3 linked regions of the Saccharomyces cerevisiae S288C genome follow. The protein of the gene in region 2 interacts with the protein of the main gene of each other region in a biochemical or structural test. Each region holds a gene or a part of one and is shown on either strand. Other genes may lie near its edges.

Evidence for each region.
Region 1: of the proteins of KCC4 (region 2) and VHR2, one has a biochemical effect on the other in vitro, tested with the Saccharomyces cerevisiae proteins (one large-scale study listed by BioGRID).
Region 3: the proteins of KCC4 (region 2) and SIP5 form a complex in vitro, tested with the Saccharomyces cerevisiae proteins (one large-scale study listed by BioGRID).

Annotation. Positions count from the first base shown.
Region 1 is NC_001137.3:282,576-286,332, reverse strand, and holds VHR2 (Vhr2p), read left to right. Parts: upstream 1-2,110; coding exon 2,111-3,628; downstream 3,629-3,757. Other genes in the region: ICL1 (isocitrate lyase 1), read left to right, coding at 1-1,092. UniProt on the Saccharomyces cerevisiae protein: Transcription factor that regulates ERG9, but seems to have a more global function in transcription.
Region 2 is NC_001135.5:77,524-81,280, forward strand, and holds the start of KCC4 (serine/threonine protein kinase), read left to right. Parts: upstream 1-1,638; coding exon 1,639-3,757. Other genes in the region: amino acid transporter AGP1, read right to left, coding at 1-396. UniProt on the Saccharomyces cerevisiae protein: Involved in regulation of bud growth during cell cycle and in septin organization. Plays a role in cell wall synthesis.
Region 3 is NC_001145.3:545,571-549,327, forward strand, and holds SIP5 (Sip5p), read left to right. Parts: upstream 1-2,143; coding exon 2,144-3,613; downstream 3,614-3,757. Other genes in the region: Arf family GTPase CIN4, read left to right, coding at 1-160; serine/threonine protein kinase RIM11, read left to right, coding at 555-1,667. UniProt on the Saccharomyces cerevisiae protein: May negatively regulate the SNF1 kinase by promoting the interaction of the REG1/GLC7 phosphatase complex with the kinase. Deletion of SIP5 promotes resistance to artemisinin, which is probably an indirect effect of an action on the electron transport chain.

The sequences.
Region 1 (3,757 bases), on a different chromosome or scaffold from region 2:
AAGATGTTCATTGAGCGTGGTGCTGCTGGGATCCACATGGAAGACCAGACATCTACAAATAAGAAATGTGGGCATATGGCAGGAAGATGTGTTATACCCGTTCAGGAACATGTTAACAGATTGGTGACTATTAGAATGTGTGCTGATATCATGCATTCTGACTTAATTGTCGTTGCTAGGACTGATTCAGAAGCAGCCACTTTGATTAGCTCAACCATCGATACCAGAGATCATTATTTCATTGTCGGTGCCACCAATCCAAATATCGAGCCATTTGCCGAAGTTTTAAATGATGCCATCATGAGTGGTGCATCAGGACAAGAACTAGCTGACATTGAACAAAAATGGTGTAGAGACGCTGGACTCAAGTTATTCCATGAAGCCGTCATTGATGAAATTGAAAGATCAGCCCTGTCAAATAAGCAAGAATTGATTAAGAAATTCACCTCTAAAGTGGGTCCATTGACTGAAACATCCCACAGAGAAGCCAAGAAGCTCGCTAAAGAAATTCTTGGCCACGAAATTTTCTTCGACTGGGAGCTACCACGCGTAAGGGAAGGGTTGTACCGTTACAGAGGTGGGACGCAATGTTCTATCATGAGGGCCCGTGCATTTGCTCCATATGCTGATTTGGTATGGATGGAATCTAACTACCCAGACTTCCAACAGGCCAAGGAGTTTGCAGAAGGTGTTAAAGAGAAATTCCCTGACCAATGGCTAGCTTACAACTTGTCTCCATCCTTTAACTGGCCAAAAGCCATGTCCGTTGATGAACAACACACCTTCATCCAAAGGCTGGGTGATCTAGGTTACATCTGGCAATTTATCACATTGGCCGGTTTACACACTAACGCTTTAGCTGTCCATAACTTCTCTCGTGACTTTGCCAAGGATGGGATGAAAGCTTATGCCCAGAATGTTCAGCAGAGGGAAATGGACGATGGTGTTGATGTGTTGAAACATCAAAAATGGTCTGGTGCGGAGTACATCGATGGGTTATTGAAGTTAGCTCAAGGTGGTGTTAGCGCAACAGCTGCTATGGGAACCGGTGTCACAGAAGATCAATTCAAAGAAAATGGCGTAAAGAAATAGGACAAGGATTAACCATTAGAACTGCCGGCATTTCCTGACAAGTATATATATTCGTAATCTCAATGTATATTTTTTTCATATATAAACATGCGTACTTAAAAACTTAAACTCATCGTTACTGCAGTACAATGTTCTCTAATGGCATCTCTCTAATGGTACTCCAACTAAAGTCAACATTCTCTCCGTGCAAGAATGCCTTTCTCTAGTTGCAAAAACGAGTCAATAAACATCTTTGATCGAGTCGCCTCATTTTTGTTGACTCGGTGACTAAAATCAGTGCCATTTCTGTCCATGCCTCGTGCGCGAATGATTGAATCGAACTAATCCCGAACACAATCATAGTATCGTATCGCCCATTAGTGCCGTGAGTGTACGCGAGGCAAAAGGCACCATGGAAAATATTCCCTTAGTCATCTTGGAAATCATTGAGACTGTAAAGGAACTCGCAAACGGGTAACCGATATTTACCCCACCTTTGGTCGAGAAATTCCACCTGTTCGGCAATTTTTGCCGCTCTTCTCAAGAGCAAAAGGCGTTTTTTTTTCTGACACGCCTCTTCTCTCGCATGCCAAACTCAAGCGTCCTACATGCTTTTCTCATGAAAGCCAAGTGCGGGATGAAAAACATAAAATGTGACAAATAGTGCCACCTCATAATGTAATCGAGAGGCAAAATTAATCACTTTGTTCTCCCTTTTCTTTTTTCTGGGCGCTCAAAGTGAGATGCTTTCTGTAGAAAATAACATGGCCGTTAGAAGGTACTCGTCATCTTTTAGCTGCCGCATACATGTACACACACACACACACACACACGCACGCACATATATATATATATATATATATATATATATATATATTAAACATGATGGCAAAAAACCGAACTAAGTGCTCCTGTTCTATTTTTATATTCTTGCTTTTCATATTTCTCTAGCTGTATATTACCTTTAGCATATTCAAACATCTTAACCGGAAAATATCTCAGCAAAAAAAACAGCAACAGTCAGAGTAAAAATTGCAAGATGATTGACGATACTGAGAACTCCAAAATTCATTTGGAAGGTAGCCATAAAACAGGAAAGTATACGGGCTATGGTACTACACATAAAATCAGAGCTCAGTTAAACTTTAATGATGAAAAGAAATGGAAGAAGTTTTCTAGCAGAAGACTAGAACTCATTGACTCATTTGGCTTGAGCCAGCACAAAGCAAGTGAACAAGATGATAATATAAGACAAATAGCCACCATATTAAGGAGTGAATTTGAGTACCCTGATACGTTTTCGGCAGAATTTGAAAAGTTGGTTACCGCTGCTGTTCAATCGGTGAGAAGAAACAGGAAACGTTCCAAGAAAAAATTATTAGACTCTAAGAAGAAAATAGCCCGTGGTAAAGTTCAAAAAATTCCTTTGTCTCCCCCCAGCTCAAGTAATATGGGGTCTTGTTCAGCTTCCAATGCATCAAGCTCTGACGAAGAAGCCAGCGTGAAGGAAGAACCTGCTGAGCACGCTCTTCCTTCTCTTAATACTATAACATCACAAAAATTGTTACCTTATCCGAATGGCCGCACTCTTCCACCTGTACCAACTCAAGTTCGCTCTTTACTTAAGAAGAACGCATCTCTTCTTCGTGATCCATCGGCACCGTATGCGCACGGCGGCGATGAAAAATTACAAAAGTTTGATATAGAAGATCAGCCTCTAGAAAGTGAACAAGAATACGACTTTATTGCCAAATCAATAATTGTTGAAATTGTAAATAATGCTATTCCACTACCTGAACAAATTCAAAGAGATAAGTTCATTAGACCAAATTTAACGAAAAAAAAAGGGTGCCAAAGCAAAGTTGTAATATCCAACAACTTGAGAAAACTCATCCTGTCAAAGATACATAACTCAAGGACGTGCTTGGAGATGTCTAAGGATGAAAGAAATTTGGATTCTTTTGCTAATCTAGAAACGCTGGGCAAAAATTCACTAATGGCTTCCATTTCCCTTGTGGTAGAAAACAGCTTTTCACATTTACCGTCTTCTACTAAGCAATATCTTACTGAACGGCTGTCATCAATCGAATTTTTGACTATTCTATCGCAAAGGCTATTTATGCCCGCTACACGTCAACTATTCGCTGACCTATCACAAGAAAAAATTCAGGTGAGAGTGCTGAATCTCATACTGGGATCTCTTGTCAAAGATTATGGGTTTGATGCATCTTTGGCACCAATCAACGAAATTATCTATCACATGACACTCCATCAATATCCCTTGGTTTGTAGTAATAAACAGTCCAATCCAATGAGGCCACACTCCACATCTGAGGTCTTGAGTGCACATTCTTCAACGAAAGATGCAAGCACTCCCGGTAAAGAAGAGCCTCGAGTGACGAGGTCAAGCACATCGGCAGATAGCACTATCATTACATTGCCTTCAATTGAAGTCCCAAATACGTACGATGATGACAGGTTAAAGATGTTGAGCGCGATATCGTTGCAGATTGAAAATTCCACCTTTTCCAAACCATTCAGTACTATTTCAAAATAAATAGGCCCGCTTGCATCATCCCCACCTGCATTACTATGAACTATTTATCATAGCTTATTTTTCCTCTATCATCATTGTAACTTGTACAAGAATGTTCAGTCTGTAAATCTCGCCGCTCATTCTCTACTA
Region 2 (3,757 bases):
CGTACCCAACGCAATCATCAGAACATGTCTAGGCTGAATGGTTTTCTTCAGCGAGTCCGACTTATGACCTGTATTAGCGCCTATGTTGTCCGAACTTTCATTTTTTTCTAGTTCTTGAGCCTGTCTAGAAGAAGGTGAGATAGCCGACGTAAGATCGTTCATTTGTGTTGCTTCTACTTCATCCTGTGGACCCTGATCCGCTCTTTTAAAGGAGTCGAAAAACCTACGCACGGCAGAAGTGTTATGCTGTTCGTAACCTAAATGAGGTTGTGAGGATGGACGGTCATTGGAGCCTGTTTCGAAATATTCAATTTCATTATCCTGCCCCGTGGCATGTATTTCTGTGGAGCTATTTTTCAAGTCTTTCAGTTCGTATAGAGACTTCGACGACGACATTGTGCGAAGCTATCTTTGTCTATATTAGCGTGCTTCTTCTATAAAGATTACATAATAAACTTGTTCTACATTGTTGTGGGCAGACCATCAAAGACAAAGCACTTATATATGTATGTAAAACAAATGAGTATTACGAGGAAAATAACAAAAAGAAACTAATCACGAAGGATATGAGTCTTGTTAGCGGACGAGGGGAAGATAGCGCAAGACACACGTATAGCCGACCTATCCTATGCATCTTAGCCGTCTTATCAGGATTGATTTGCGGTTCAGTGAAAGAGATAACCACTGCCAAGCTGGAAGAAATGGCTAGAAGGCACTAAAAAAAGAGCCTCGCAGCGCAACTTAAGAACTGTGGACTACTAAGGAGCAGCAATCCGCTGGACGTGGGGGAGTTGAAAGTTGGCCGGATACTGCAACCTGCTTATCTATGACTCGATGAGACCGTTATTTAGTGCGATGGTGCCACTGGGAGTGCCATCAACGGCAAAGTTGCAGCTTTTTGCAGCAGATCAGTGCCGCTTAGACGGCACCCTCAAGCGGCACTGAAGAACGGCGCGCTTTTTTTTTTCTTCTATTATGCCGGTCAAGGAAAAAAAGAAACCAAAAAAAAATGCCGTGGGAGGCACGGATGCAAGATTTCTCCAAAGTCCCTTTTTAGCCGCCGAGGAAATGAGGAAATAAGGGGTTAGCCGCCGAGTGAAGCCGCCGAGGTATAAAAGGGAGAATGCACACCTTCGTAAGAAGATTCTATTTGAAAGAGTGCTAGGTAAAGTCATCAAAAGGCTTATTGATATAATAATTGCTTTGCAAAATGGAAAACAAATGACTTTGAAAATGGGAGAAAACAAAAATTATATAGGTAATGTTGAGTTCTTGATTTTTTTTTTGTTTCTGTCCTTGCCACAGCTCTTTTCATGGAACATTGGGCTCTAGGATAATTTTTTTATGTTTTCTGTTATGTTTGCCATGGTAGGTTGAGGTAAAGGCGCTCTTTCAGCAATGACGATTTATGCTAATATGTTTTCCTTAAAAGGAAAACATCTCGTTCTTTTTTTCGCGTGCTGTGCAAGAAAACGCGTAACGCAGTCTTAGTAAAAGGGCTCTCTTGAAAACTACATGAAAACTAAAAAAGAAGATGTAAATTTGGATACAACAGCGTAGAATAGCATAATAGAGTGTGCAATAAACGTGTATAGGCTTGATAATAGTGCTGACGTAAATTACCAGAACTACTGCAGTATGACTGTGGCGAATACCGAGACCCATTCTGCTGCTAAACCATCGAGTACTATAGGCCCATGGAAGCTTGGTGAAACACTGGGCTTTGGTAGCACCGGCAAGGTCCAACTTGCGCAACATGAGCGCACGGGCCATAGAACAGCCGTCAAAGTAATCTCAAAGTCCATTTTCAACAACAACGGAAACCACAGTAACGACGATTCAGTGCTGCCATACAACATCGAGCGTGAGATTGTTATTATGAAACTTTTGAGCCACCCAAACGTTCTGAGTCTTTACGACGTTTGGGAAACCAACAATAACCTGTACCTTATCCTGGAATACGCCGAAAAGGGAGAACTGTTCAACTTGCTTGTGGACCACGGTCCCTTGCCCGAGCGTGAGGCCATCAATTGCTTCAGACAGATAATTATAGGCATTTCATACTGCCATGCGCTAGGAATAGTACATCGGGATTTAAAGCCAGAAAATCTTTTGCTCGATAGTTTCTATAATATCAAAATTGCGGATTTTGGTATGGCAGCTTTACAGACAGACGCCGACCTGCTAGAAACTTCTTGTGGGTCTCCTCATTATGCCGCTCCTGAGATCGTATCAGGTCTGCCCTATGAAGGATTTGCCAGCGACGTTTGGTCTTGCGGTGTAATCCTCTTTGCCCTTTTAACGGGTAGACTACCCTTCGATGAAGAAAACGGTAATGTTAGGGATTTGTTATTGAAAGTCCAAAAGGGCCAGTTTGAAATGCCCAATGACACCGAAATTTCCAGAGATGCACAAGATTTAATCGGCAAGATTCTCGTTGTAGATCCCAGGCAAAGAATAAAAATCAGAGACATCCTTAGTCATCCACTGCTAAAAAAATATCAAACCATTAAGGATTCCAAAAGTATCAAAGATTTACCTCGTGAAAATACCTATCTATATCCACTGGCTGACTCGAACAACCATACTAGCGCCTCTATCGATGATTCAATCCTACAAAACTTGGTGGTACTTTGGCATGGTAGACACGCCGATGACATCGTATCTAAACTGAAAGAGAATGGAACCAACAAAGAAAAAATTCTATATGCGCTACTATACCGTTTCAAACTGGACTCTGTAAGGGGATCGAATAAGAAGAACCGCAATAAGATAAAGAAAACCAAAAAAAATAAAAGATCTAGCACACTTTCGTCATCGTCATCATTATTATTGAACAACCGAAGCATACAATCTACGCCACGCAGACGTACATCCAAGAGGCATTCCAGGGAATTCTCTTCTAGCAGGAAGAGATCGTCCTTTTTACTGTCCTCGAATCCTACCGATAGTTCTCCAATACCTTTGAGAAGTAGTAAAAGAATTACACATATTAACGTAGCGTCTGCAAATACCCAAGCAACGCCAAGTGGTGTCCCGAATCCTCACAAGAGGAACTCAAAAAAACGGTCAAGCAAAAGATTATCTTATATGCCTAATACAAAAAGAAGCTCACTAACATCAAAATCATTATCAAACTTTACTAACCTAATAGATGATGATGATTGGGAGTACATTGAAAAGGATGCAAAGAGAACAAGTTCCAACTTCGCTACACTGATTGATGAAATATTTGAGCCTGAGAAATTTGAATTGGCGAAAAGAGAAAAGGCTGAACTTCAAAGAAAAGTTCAGGAAGCAAAAAGGCAATCAGTGAATGCACAGAAGATTAATGAGGACGAGTTTGGATCCGAAGTTTCTGATGGAATGAAAGAGCTGAAAAAAATAAATGACAAAGTGTCGTCCCCGTTGATAAATTACGAATTTTCGCAACAAGAACTATTGCAAGATATAGACACCTTACTAACGAATCGTTATCAACTTTCGTCATATACTAGGCCTATTTCGAGACTGGATCCCGGATTAACGCCTGTTACTGAGACACTTCCTAACAACCTAAAAGAAAAAACAGCTCTGCTGCAGGATACTGAAAAGAAAATAATAGAAACGATACGCAGATCCAAATTTTTAGGATCGCTACTAAATGTTAGAGGGGGACTATCGCCAGGGAAAAGTGAACTGGCACCTATCGAAGAGTCTCCCATAGTTTCAACCACACCACTAATATATAATGATCGAATGGAACCTCGTAGGATAT
Region 3 (3,757 bases), on a different chromosome or scaffold from region 2:
GTCCGAGCTTCATCGAAGGTGTTTACTGGTAGAGAGCGAGTTGAAGTGTCTGTTCAAGCCGGACATCCGAATAGAGCTCGTCAAATGTAGTGGCGTTACCGGAGAAGGTATTGATAACCTGCGTGACCGTCTGGTGGAATCCTGCCATTTTACCCAATAATCGTCTAAGATGTGAGCACCATATAAAAACTTTAAATAATGTCAGTATTTATAGCGTGATAGTTCATTACCCGCCGACTGTGCGCATTCGTGGCTTCTGCTCACTCCGGATAATAATACTACCAAGGGGTTCTGTAAGGCTTGCGGGTTACAAAGCACGGGTCCATTGAAGATCTTACACAAGAAGGAGTGGTAGGAAGACCAGCAGATTATTTCCAATCGGTCGTTGCCATTGTCTTATTTCCTTTTCTTTCTGGCGCATTGCATTTTAACACCTTTTTTTCCAGAATAGCCAACCACCGACGTCTGATTCACACATTACTGGGCAAGATCTTGACATAGCATTACATTACAACACGGCAACACTAATCACGCAACGCTAGAACTCGCGCAGGATGAATATTCAAAGCAATAATTCTCCGAATCTCAGTAATAACATAGTGTCAAAACAGGTTTACTACGCCCATCCTCCACCTACGATAGACCCGAATGATCCGGTGCAGATATCTTTCCCTACCACCGAAGTAGTTGGGCATGGTTCGTTTGGTGTGGTATTTGCCACTGTTATTCAAGAAACTAATGAAAAAGTTGCTATTAAGAAAGTCCTGCAAGATAAACGATTCAAGAACAGAGAGCTGGAAATAATGAAAATGCTGAGTCACATAAATATAATAGATCTGAAGTACTTTTTCTATGAAAGGGACTCCCAAGATGAGATTTATTTAAATTTGATACTAGAATACATGCCACAATCTTTGTACCAGAGGTTACGTCATTTCGTCCATCAACGTACGCCGATGTCAAGATTGGAAATAAAGTACTACATGTTTCAATTGTTCAAGTCATTGAATTACCTCCATCATTTCGCGAACGTCTGTCATAGAGACATTAAGCCTCAAAATTTATTAGTAGATCCTGAGACCTGGTCCTTAAAACTGTGCGATTTCGGCAGTGCAAAGCAATTGAAACCTACTGAACCTAACGTTTCCTATATTTGTTCACGGTACTATAGAGCACCAGAGCTAATCTTCGGCGCAACAAATTATACCAACCAAATCGACATATGGTCCTCTGGCTGCGTAATGGCGGAACTGCTATTGGGCCAACCAATGTTCCCTGGAGAAAGTGGTATTGATCAACTAGTGGAAATCATTAAAATCTTAGGTACTCCATCAAAGCAAGAAATTTGCTCTATGAATCCCAATTATATGGAGCATAAGTTCCCGCAAATTAAACCAATACCATTGTCACGTGTTTTCAAGAAAGAAGATGATCAAACTGTGGAATTTCTAGCTGACGTTTTGAAATATGATCCACTAGAAAGATTTAATGCTCTACAATGCCTGTGTAGTCCATATTTTGATGAACTAAAACTTGATGACGGTAAAATAAATCAAATAACAACTGATTTAAAATTGCTAGAGTTCGATGAAAATGTCGAATTGGGCCATCTATCTCCCGATGAACTATCATCTGTAAAAAAAAAGCTATATCCGAAGTCTAAGTAATGATAGCACCGGAGGGAGCCCAGGCAAGAATAATGGGAGAAGGAAGGAACATATATACGTATGTCTTTTTTTAGTACTATTATTACTGTTATTATTATGAGTATTGTTTTTGTATTACCATCATATTCTTATCATTATTAGTAGTAACAGTATTATGTTATCATTACTGTTATAATGAATACAAATTATGAAAAAAATAAGGTAAAGCCAAAATAAATTGTAACTTTTTTATGCCATTTCACTTCGAATTATGTATAAAAGCCGTATTCTTTGCCAGTACGAAACTATTTTAATGACACCTTTACTTTAACCGGGTAACAACTTCCTTAAATGGGTCGACAAGGTTTTTAGAGTATAAAGGGGCAAGTGAAGGTTCATCATCGAGCTGATGTAGTGGGTGTTTTAGTAAACGAAGAAGCACCTTAGAACCAAATAATCTAGCTAGTATAAACCGAACCCAGAGTAGCAAACAAACCATGGGTAATGTTCCAGGGAAAATAGACCAGGAAGATAGTTTTAATGATGTCAGGCCAGATTCCTCATATAATACTACATCATCGAATTCTGTCATCAAACAATATGATGAAGAAGCCTCTTCAAGGGTGAGAACGAGACGCACGACGTCTTTGGTCAATAATATTTTAAATGGGAATAATGCTCGTACAAAAACTGGTTCTCATCTATCCAGCACTAGTAGAAGAAAGACGTCACGGGAAAAAGAGCTTGCTAAAGAGGCACATGCTAAACAATTGGTTGTGAGGTGTAGCGAAACTGTAGATGGGGGGTTTTTGGCCCCATTTGGCTGTTATTCTTTTGAAAAGTTGGACTATGATGCTACTGTCGTTAAAAATTTAATAATCAAAAGAAAGTTAGCGCCGTTTTACACTCCTTTGCAGGATTTTGATGAAAGTTGGACTAGAGATGAGTTGATAAAAATTGTTGACGGATTGCCCTTGCATGACACGTTCGATGAAAATTTGGAAGAATTCGAAGACGTACCGATAGGCAATTTAAGGAAGTCAACATTTAATGAATTAATAGACAAATCTTTATCCAAGAAGGAACAGAGAAGAATGCACGCAAAGATTTTTAGAGCAAGATTGTATAAGAAAAGAATTTTATGGCAAGAAAATGAAAATGAGACGTTTTTGGAGAGGAAATTGGAAATGAAAAGAATTGGCAGCAAGTCCAGCAATGTTGAAGATAATACCAGTAGCCAGCCAAGGAAAAATTACCATTTACCAAGTGACGATTTGAAGTATACTCTTTACAAAAATGGGTCGGAATGCCCTATTTGTTTTTTATACTTTCCAGGGCCTTTCAACTATTCCAAATGTTGTCAACAGCCTATTTGTACCGAGTGTTTTGTACAGATTAAGAGAGCTGATCCTCACTTCCCTCATGACGAAGTAGACCCAACTGAACCACAAACTAATGACAGTGAAAAGGACCCAAATCTTCTTACCTCTGAGCCAGCAAATTGCCCCTACTGTGCAACTGCTAGTTTTAGCATCACTTATCAACCACCCACAAATCGTGAAACTGGTATAGGGGGTATGCCAGCCGACTCATACGTGTATAAGGACGCCGCCATATCAAGAGCTGATGGCGGTCAGCCAAACATATCAGCCATTACTTCGGATACCATTCGTCCTGATTGGGAGATTAAATTGAACAAAGAAAGGGCAAGGTTGATGAGGAGATCCGCGAATGCCACCGCTATACATATAAGTAATAGGTTGATCGATCCAAGCCATAGCAGAAGGAGAAATACAAGTCACAGTATAACCCCTATTCATGATGAAAGTACGTCAGCTTCAAGATCTCCTGAACCGACAATAAACGAACTTGAAGATCAAATGGTTAGAGAGGCTATTAGGTTAAGCCTTGAAGATCAGGACAACCGAAAAAAATCAAAGAATAGAAACACCTCTTTGAGACCATAGCATCACAGTTTGACATTTTTTACAATATTAAAAAAATCCTTTTTCAAACGTTCCAGAAGTGCACTATTTTTCTTTTGTTCCATCTATATCTAACGGAGCGTCACCAACCTGACCTTCCTTTTGGCTTTAAACAAAATGATCCGG